2 linked regions of the Rattus norvegicus genome follow. The protein of the gene in region 2 interacts with the protein of the main gene of each other region in a pairwise test. Links are inferred from orthologs where the notes say so. Each region holds a gene or a part of one and is shown on either strand. Other genes may lie near its edges. The genes, in order: Hsp90aa1 and Keap1.

Evidence for each region.
Region 1: the proteins of Keap1 (region 2) and Hsp90aa1 interact in a two-hybrid assay, tested with the Homo sapiens proteins (2 studies listed by BioGRID). The link is inferred for Rattus norvegicus from reciprocal best matches to the Homo sapiens genes KEAP1 and HSP90AA1.

Annotation. Positions count from the first base shown.
Region 1 is NC_086024.1:135,526,232-135,530,829, forward strand, and holds the start of Hsp90aa1 (heat shock protein HSP 90-alpha), read right to left. Parts: upstream 2,910-4,598; 5' UTR 2,852-2,909; intron 2,269-2,851; coding exon 2,107-2,268; intron 2,009-2,106; coding exon 1,642-2,008; intron 1,276-1,641; coding exon 1,142-1,275; intron 915-1,141; coding exon 594-914; intron 443-593; coding exon 277-442; intron 129-276; coding exon 1-128. UniProt on the Homo sapiens protein: Molecular chaperone that promotes the maturation, structural maintenance and proper regulation of specific target proteins involved for instance in cell cycle control and signal transduction.
Region 2 is NC_086026.1:28,050,992-28,055,267, reverse strand, and holds the start of Keap1 (kelch-like ECH-associated protein 1), read left to right. Parts: upstream 1-1,225; 5' UTR 1,226-1,501; intron 1,502-1,642; exon of another isoform or gene 1,643-1,782; intron 1,783-2,820; 5' UTR 2,821-2,867; coding exon 2,868-3,506; intron 3,507-4,276. UniProt on the Homo sapiens protein: Substrate-specific adapter of a BCR (BTB-CUL3-RBX1) E3 ubiquitin ligase complex that regulates the response to oxidative stress by targeting NFE2L2/NRF2 for ubiquitination.

The sequences.
Region 1 (4,598 bases), on a different chromosome or scaffold from region 2:
AGTAAATAGTTCTAGGCATTTCTTGACCAAATTCTTCCTGATAACTTTCAGAATTTTGCTTTGTTGCAGCATTTCACGGGAAATATTTAGAGGGAGATCCTCAGAATCCACCACCCCTCTGATGAAATCTGTGGAAGAAAAGAACAAGACACCTACCTTAATCATTCCGAAAACTAAGGAATCATTTTTGGCTGGTCGAGAGGACTGAGCCCAGGGCCTCAAACAAGTTATGCAAAACCCCTGCCAATAGTGCTTATTCTTTCTATCCGTACTTACTCAGATACTCGGGGATTAACTCCTCACAGTTATCCATGATAAAAACTCTGCGAACATACAACTTGATGTTGTTCTTTTTCTTTCTGTTTTCAAATAGATCAAAAGGAGCGCGTCTTGGGACAAAAAGAAGAGCCCGGAATTCTAATTGTCCTTCAACAGAAAAATGCTGCAATAAAATGAAATACCTTTAACTGCCATGGACAAAAATGAATCAACTTTTCCACTGAGCTATGTTACACTTAGAAGCACTTCTATAGGTTGAGTGGGTGTAAAGGTTAACGTTAAGTCAACCCGAAAACCTGCTTTAAGTCACTCACCTTTACTGCCAAATGTTCTTCCCAGTCGTTGGTTAAGCTCTTGTAGAACTCTCCGTATTCTTCATTCGTAATGTCATCAGGATTTCTGGTCCAGATCGGCTTTGTTTTGTTGAGTTCTTCTTGATCAATGTACTTTTCCTTTATCTTCTTCTTTTTCTTCTTGTCACCATCCTTCTTCTCTTCTTCTTCTTCATCAGAACCAACATCTTCTATTTCAGGCTTGTCATCAGACTCCTTTTCTTCTTTTTCTTTCTCTTCCTCTTTCTCTTCCTTTTCTTCAGCCTCATCATCACTGACTTCCTTGTCACGTTCCTTCTCCACCTTAAAAAAAAGTCACTTCATTACTGTGTCACAAATTATTTAAGATCTAAGAAATAAATGTCCATAATTAAGAAACTCATCAGTGTTTTCTATAATTTCTCAACAGTCCTCCAGAGCACAGACCCAAACTTGTTTCAAACAGGCTTATTATTTACAGAATGCTAAGACCATGCTCAGTTGTCTCAGTTATCATATCAATTTACCCTGCAGTTGAAAGAAAAACTTACAAAGAGAGTAATGGGGTAGCCAATAAACTGAGAATGTTTCTTCACAATTTCTTTTATTCTCCTTTCCTCCAAATACTCAGTTTGGTCTTCTTTTAGATGCAAGATAACCTTTGTTCCACGACCCATTGGTTCACCTGAAAAAGAAAAGGTTATGGACTATGAATTCAAATGGCTAATATTCAAAGTCTTCTCCCAGTGCTTGTTGGAGCGGAGATAAAAACGTGCAGTGTTTCCTAGCAGCTAACTTTCCACACAAATGCAGTCTCCAGAGCTTTAACTTCCTTGCTACTGAGCAAATAGCCATACGTTTTCCACATTTCCTCCAACCACCCAGTCCTTGAAGCTCCCTTGAGATTAACAATTTTGTTGGAGGGCTTAGGACTAAGACTATCCCAGACTGCTCCAAACTCTTCAATTCTCCCAGTTAACCCTCTTAAACACTTGACCTAAAATAACCAGACACCCACTGCACTCTGAATGCACTCCTGGCCTCTGCCTACCTGTGTCTGTCCTCACAGTGAAGGATCCTCCAGCTGAGGACTCCCAGGCGTACTGCTCGTCATCATTATGCTTGGTGATGACAGTCACTTTCTCAGCAACCAAATACGCAGAGTAAAAACCAACACCAAACTGGCCAATCATAGAGATATCTGCACCAGCCTGCAAAGCCTCCATGAAGGCTTTGGTGCCTGACTTGGCAATAGTGCCAAGGTTATTGATCAAGTCAGCCTTGGTCATTCCAATGCCAGTATCCACAATAGTGAGGGTTCGGTCTTGCTTGTTGGGAATGAGATTAATGTGCAGCTCCTTCCCCGAGTCCAGTTTACTAGGGTCGGTCAAGCTCTCGTATCTGATCTTATCCAGAGCCTATTAAGAGAAGACAAACGTCACGCACACAGACAAGCCTCAAGGTGAAATTTTTACTGAAACCAACATCCATTCAATTCTTCAAGTGATATACTCACGTCTGAGGAGTTGGAAATGAGCTCCCTCAGAAAGATCTCTTTGTTCGAGTAGAAAGTGTTGATGATCAAGGACATTAACTGGGCAATTTCTGCCTGAAAGGCAAAGGTTTCGACCTCCTCTTCCTCCATTGGTTGGTCTTGGGTCTGGGTTTCCTCAGGCATCTGGGAACACGGGACGGTGTTAAAGCCTCACAGAATGTCTGCAGGCGTCCTAATGCCTACCTACCCCTTTCCTATAGAAATTCCTTAGGAACTCTATTTCGGTCTGAGACGGGGACGGAATAGAAGAGGCCGAGGGGGGGGGTGGATGACAAAGGGATGACCTCATTTCAGAATGCGGTAATTACGAGGCGCATGTGCGCGCCTCCGGGAGGACGTTCGGACCCAAGCGGCTCCACGCACGCCGTTCCTAACGGCCACCCTCCCCCCACAAGCCGCCGCTATGGCGCCTCCCTCCTCCGCCCGCGCCTCAGGAGCACCGGCGAGAGCCGGGGAGGCCTAGGCAAAGGCCAGAGCCGAACGTTCGCCTCGCCCCCGACCCTCCGCCGCCGCTCCTCCTCGGCGGCCATCACCGCATCCTGGGCCTGGGGCGTAGCGGCCGCCTGGGGCCTAGGGTCTGAAGGCATGGCCGCCCACCTCTGCGGGCTGAGGGAGCTCGGATGGCGGCCCCGACCCCGCCGCCGCGTCTACATCCGTCAACCTCTCTCCCCAATCCCCCACTAAGCCCCTCTGCGAGGACACTCACCTTGGCAGAATGAGCACGCACGAAACGTGACTAACCGCACCGGGACACTGAAGCAACTGGCGCGCCGCCCCCCGCGCCTGCCTTATATAGAGGCGGGCCCGCCCAGCGCGCGGCGCTTTTTCCAGAAGCCTCCCGAACCTTCCGGAAGAACCCTCCCCAACCGTCGCCTCGGCCGCGCGCCTGCGCCTGCGCACTGGACGGGCCCCGCCCCTCCACCAGGAGCGCGCAGAACCCGCGCGGAGAACGAACGCGAGCCCCTCCTCCACAGCCAGGTGCTCTGGACATGCGCAGTCCGGGATTCTCGGCGGGCCTGGCGCCTTCCCGGGCCGCGCGCGCGCCGCCTCTCGTGGAGCGCGGACAAGGTGACCAGCGCATGCGCTAGAGGCCGCCATGTGAGCACTCTAGGGCTCCTCTTCTCGGGGGGTGGGGGTGGGGTCTGCGAAAGGGATGTTCCCATGTGAGGCTGCGTTGCTGTGTGAACCTCAGTGCCCTCTGCGGCGCGTTAGGTGTCTGAGGCGAGAAGATCCCCCTGTCTTCGGGCTCCCATTGGGGACGTAGACTCCCGGCGGGACGCGAGTCTGACTCCTGGCTTCCACCTGATGGGTGGGGCGTATCCCGAGCCCGGGTTCTGCTTGTTGCGCGGTCTGGCGCGTGGTACCACTGTCTGAATTTTAGGGCTGTCCCCTCTGGAGCCTGTCCTGAAGCCTTACTGTGGGTAGTACACGGTGGATCTTCCAAATCTGTCCATAGTGCTTGGGGGTTTCTCTTTGACCAAAACCCATGACCCTCAAACTTGGGCGTTGTTAGGGTTTTAGTGTCAAATTTGTGCTACCTTAACTTATTGTAATTACGGGGGCCCAGAAAGATGGCTTCATCCAGTAGAGGTGCTTGGGTTTGATATCTGCCACCCAGATAGCGGGGGTTGGGAGTGGGGAGCTAACCCTCAGCGCCTGTGACACTCATGTGCACACACACACACACACACTCGCACACACACTCGCACAATGTGAAAATAAGTGTAAAGGGCTAAAGAGTCAGCTAGGAGCAGTTAGTGATACCAAACTCGCACGTTAAGGCAGCTCACAAGCACCAGTAACTACAGTCAGAAAATACAGTCCCCTCTGGCCTCTGCGGCACCAGGAGCACACATGGTGCACAGACACACGCAGTCAAAACGCTCATACACAACACACTACCCTGGTTTTTGAGGCACCTTCTTAGGGTGTCATGACGTTACTTTGGGCGATTAACGTGACCCAAAAGATAGTTTCCTTGTTTAATACAGGCTTTAATAGACTTCCGTTTGGCTTCCATTTCCCTTTCCTTTATGTTACTCCCACCCACTATTTCCGCATCTTTTCCTGCTGACGAAAACGATCACTCATTAAGATTCGAAAGAAAAGGGCTGGAGAGATGGCTCAGTGGTTAAAGCATAGACTGGACCCAGGTTCAATTCCCAATGACCACGTGGCAGCTCAAAACGGTAATTCTAATCTCTGACACCCTCACGCAAACATACATGCACGCAGGCAAAATACCAACGCACATAGAATAATAATTAAAAGTTTAGGAAGGAAGGAAGGAAGGAAGGAAGATTGTCCTCTGTGGACAAAAGCACAGCAGGCAATTCCTCAGGAAGAGGAAGAAAGTTAGCCCCCACCCCAGGGAGTGAGAGTGAGGCCCTTTTATAGCAGTTGAGGAAGGACCTCTGTCTGGCCTTGCTCTCTGGACTATCTGAGTGGCCTGC
Region 2 (4,276 bases):
AAATTGAAAGAAAAAACCCAGAATACACATTTGTAATCCCATTGGAGAGATGGAGACAGGAGACAGAGTTCAAAGCTAGCCTGGGCTAAAAATGACATCTTGTCTGCACCAGTCAGTCAAATAATATTAAATTTTTTTATTTATCTTTATTTTATGTGTATGGGTGTTTTGTCTTCATGGTTGTGGTGCTTGTGGAAGCCAGAAAAGGGTATGGGATCCCCTGTAACTGGAGTTATAGGCGTTCATTTTGACCCTAATACCAGTTCCGGGAATTGAACCTGGGTCCTCTGAAAGAGCTGTCAGTGCTGTAATCACTGAGCCATCTCTCCAGCACCAATAATAACTTTATTTTCCAAAATTAATTTATGTGTGCATGTGGAGGTTGGAGGACAACTTGGAGGAGTAAGTTTTTTACTACCACGTGAGAAACAGGGATGGAACTTAGTTGCCAGAATTGGCCAAATCTTATAGGTCAAGAAAATAATTTTCTCTCATAAATGCCTTTGTAGCAAATAAGAATCTCTTATCATATATATATATATATATATATATATATATAATGAGAAATGCAAAGAAAGGCAATTCTGGGCATTCCAACTCTCCAACACCCTCAGATGAATGCCACACCTCTCCTCATGAAAAAATGACTACAGAGAGAGGAGAGAGGAAAGTGGGCTGCTGTTGCACCTTGCAGGCTCCACATAGGGGAAGAGAATCAGTTTCTGCCAGTCATCCCCCGACCTCTACACACAAGCATACACACAAATAAATTAATGTACACAAAGCCCTGCGTGGTGTCACAGCCTTTAAACCCCCACCCCCCCACTCCCCCTCACCCCGGCACGCAGGAGGCAGAGCGAGAGGCAGAGGCCAGCCAGGGCTATGTAATGAGGCCATTCTCAAAAAAGAAGTTATAAGGCTGGGGTGCTGGCTCAGCAGTTAAGAGTACCTGTTGCTCTTGCAGAAGACCAGAGTTCAATTCCCCCTCTCCACAGGGTGGATAACCTGTAACTTTAGGGGGCACTGCACGCCCACGGGGCACAGACATACACGCAGGCAAAACACCCACACACATAAAGTAAAATGCGAATTGAAATAGAAACCATTAAAAAGTTATTTTAAAGGAAGATCTGTATCTCAACCAGGTACATAGGTCTGGCTGGGCCGGGTAGGGTGTGGGAGGGTCCGCTGGGGCAGGTTCAGCTAGAGGCGTACTGGACAGCCTAACCCGGAGGCAGGCTCCTAGGGCCGCCCTGACCCACGCCCTGCTCCCTCCGCCCGGCACCTGCAGGAAGGGCTGGAACCGCCTCTGCGTGCCCGCCGCCTGTTTCCGCCCTCCCGCTCCTCCCACGCGTGCCGCCCGGGACCCCGCAGCACCGCTGCCCCGATCCGAGGCCCCCTGGCTGCCCTCGGCTCCTCCCGGAAGCGCGGCGCGTGGCGGCCCGGCGGTGCGGATTGGACGCGTGGCACCAACAGAGACACCCGGGGGGGTGGGACGGAGGTGAGCGAGCGCCCGCGGAGGATGCGGTGGGGAGCCAGCTCCGGGCGCCGCCCGCGGTCGCGCGTGGGGACGTGCACGCGGTGGGGGGAAGCGCGTGACCCCTCCAAGTGCGCACCCGCGCCCAGCCCGTGCACCCGCGTAGGGTGGTGGCCGAGGCGAGTCGAGGGTAGGGGTCGCCCGCGGCCGGCGCCCCGGGACTCTTATTGTGACAGGGTGGTGCGCTGTGCTTAGTCACCGTGACCCGCGCGGCGGAGGCGGAGGCAGAGCGCGGCCATGGCGGGGTGAGTGCGCCGCTCCGGGCCGCGGCCCGGGACCAGGCCCTGCGGGCTCTCCAGGCGTCAGGGCTGCGCCTCCGAGCGTTAGGGAGGCCGCTGGAGCAGGCACCGGGTACCGGGTGGCTGCTGCTCAGCCCTCTGCGCAATGCCAGGCCCGAGCTCCGGCAGTGTGGTCACGCGTGACAGTCGCTCACTTACTGGGGCCCCTGGAGCATTTCATCGTCGTCCCCCCCATGGTGACCTAGTAGACATAACACTGGGGGACGCGACTCCAGGCTGAGCCCCAGAACCTGGGGAGCCAGCTGCAGGCCCTCTCTGTGTCCCCACATCTCCTTTGAAAGCATAACTCCTGTCCTGGCCCCAGGTCTCCAAGGGTCTCCTGAATCCCTCACCGTGGGTGTTCCAGAGGCTGCACACTCTGCCCAGGGCCTTGGTGCTCGCCTAGTGTTTTCTATACAGACCTTGCTTTATTTTCAGGCCTTTTCTGTCTTCCTGCTGTGTCCCTGGAGCTCAGAACAGTTGCAAGTATAAATGGCAGGCTCTGTAAATTTTGGTGAGGTGTTGAAGAAAGGGATTTGACATGTCGGATGAAGGGAAGGGAAGCATGGCTGGAACTGAGTGAAGAGGTCTAGAAGGGGGTGTGGAGTTTTACAGGCCATTGAGGAGCTGGGTTTCCACTCTTGGGCTCTGGGATAGGTATTGGGTGATTCTGAGCAGGAAAAGGAACGGCCGGTGATTTGAGAAGAAGTCAGTTTGAATGGAGCCGGGTGTGTCCAGTTCACTTGGCTTGACAAAAACTGCTCTAGAAATCATTGCTTAGTCTAAAAAAAAAAAAAAAAATTAAAGCTTGGCTAGATATGGTGACACAAACTGTAGTCCCAGTACACGGGAGGAAACAGCAAACAGCCTTGTTTACATAGTGAGTTTGAAGCCAGCCTAGGCTAAGACCCTGTCTCAAAAGAAAACAAGAAACAAACAAACAAACAAAAAAAAAATGTGGCAGGGTCTGGCCTAATCCAGCCCTGTACTCTTCCCTCCTTCCAGGCCCCTAATCGCTAGTGGTGGAACTGTATCTTGTCATCAGGAACCCCATGCAGCCCGAACCCAAGCCTAGCGGGGCTCCCCGCAGCAGCCAGTTCCTGCCCCTGTGGTCAAAGTGCCCGGAGGGGGCAGGGGACGCGGTGATGTATGCATCCACGGAGTGCAAGGCGGAGGTGACGCCCTCGCAGGATGGTAACCGAACCTTCAGTTACACACTAGAGGATCACACCAAGCAGGCTTTTGGCATCATGAACGAGCTTCGGCTGAGCCAGCAGCTCTGTGACGTGACCCTGCAGGTCAAATATGAGGACATCCCAGCTGCCCAATTCATGGCCCACAAAGTGGTGCTGGCCTCCTCCAGCCCAGTCTTTAAAGCTATGTTCACCAACGGGCTTCGGGAGCAGGGCATGGAGGTGGTGTCCATTGAAGGCATCCACCCCAAGGTCATGGAGAGGCTAATTGAGTTCGCCTACACGGCCTCCATCTCCGTGGGCGAGAAGTGTGTGCTGCATGTGATGAACGGGGCAGTCATGTACCAGATTGACAGCGTGGTCCGAGCCTGCAGCGACTTCCTCGTGCAGCAGCTGGACCCCAGCAACGCCATCGGCATCGCCAACTTCGCCGAGCAGATCGGCTGCACGGAACTGCACCAGCGTGCTCGGGAGTATATCTACATGCACTTCGGGGAGGTGAGTAAGACCTGGGGTTTGGGCTCAGTTGTCACAAGAAGTGGGATGGGCCAGCATAGTGCTCTCCGAGACTGGAGCGGCCATTCAAGGCTGGAGGAAGATTTCTTTTTTTCTTCCTCCTTTTCTCCATAGGGCCTCATGTAGCTCAGGCTGGCCCTAATCTGGTTGTGTATCTGAGGATGGTTTTAAGTTCCTGATTCCTGTGTCAGTCTCCCAAGTACTGTAGTCACAGACTCCCAGTATACTTAAGAGATACTGGAATGGAACGCAGAGCCCCAGGACTTGGTTTTACTTTTGTTTTTAAATCTTTTTTTAAAAATTCATTTACCTTTATTTTGTGTGCATTATTGTTTTGCCTGAATGTTTTTCTATGTGAAAGGGTCAGGTCTTGGAGTTACAGACAGTTGTGAGCTGCCACGTGGGTGCTGGGATTTGAACTCTGGTCCTCAGGAAGAGCAGTCAGTAGTGCGCTCAACTGCTGAGTCATCTCTCCAGCACCTTAGATTTTATTTTTTTTGGCAGACTTCTCTAGCTGAGGCTTTTTTTGTTTTTCTTTTACTTTTGTTTTTTGAGACAGAGTTTCTCTGTGTAACAGTCCTGTCTGTTCTGGACCTCAATTTGTAGACTGGCCTGGCCTTGAACTAAGAGAGATCCACCTGCCTTAGTAATTAAAGGTGTGTACCACCACACCTGGCTATTGAAGCTATTGTTTTGTTTTGTTTTTGTTTTTTAAGTCCTAAAAAAAATACATATATATATATATATATATA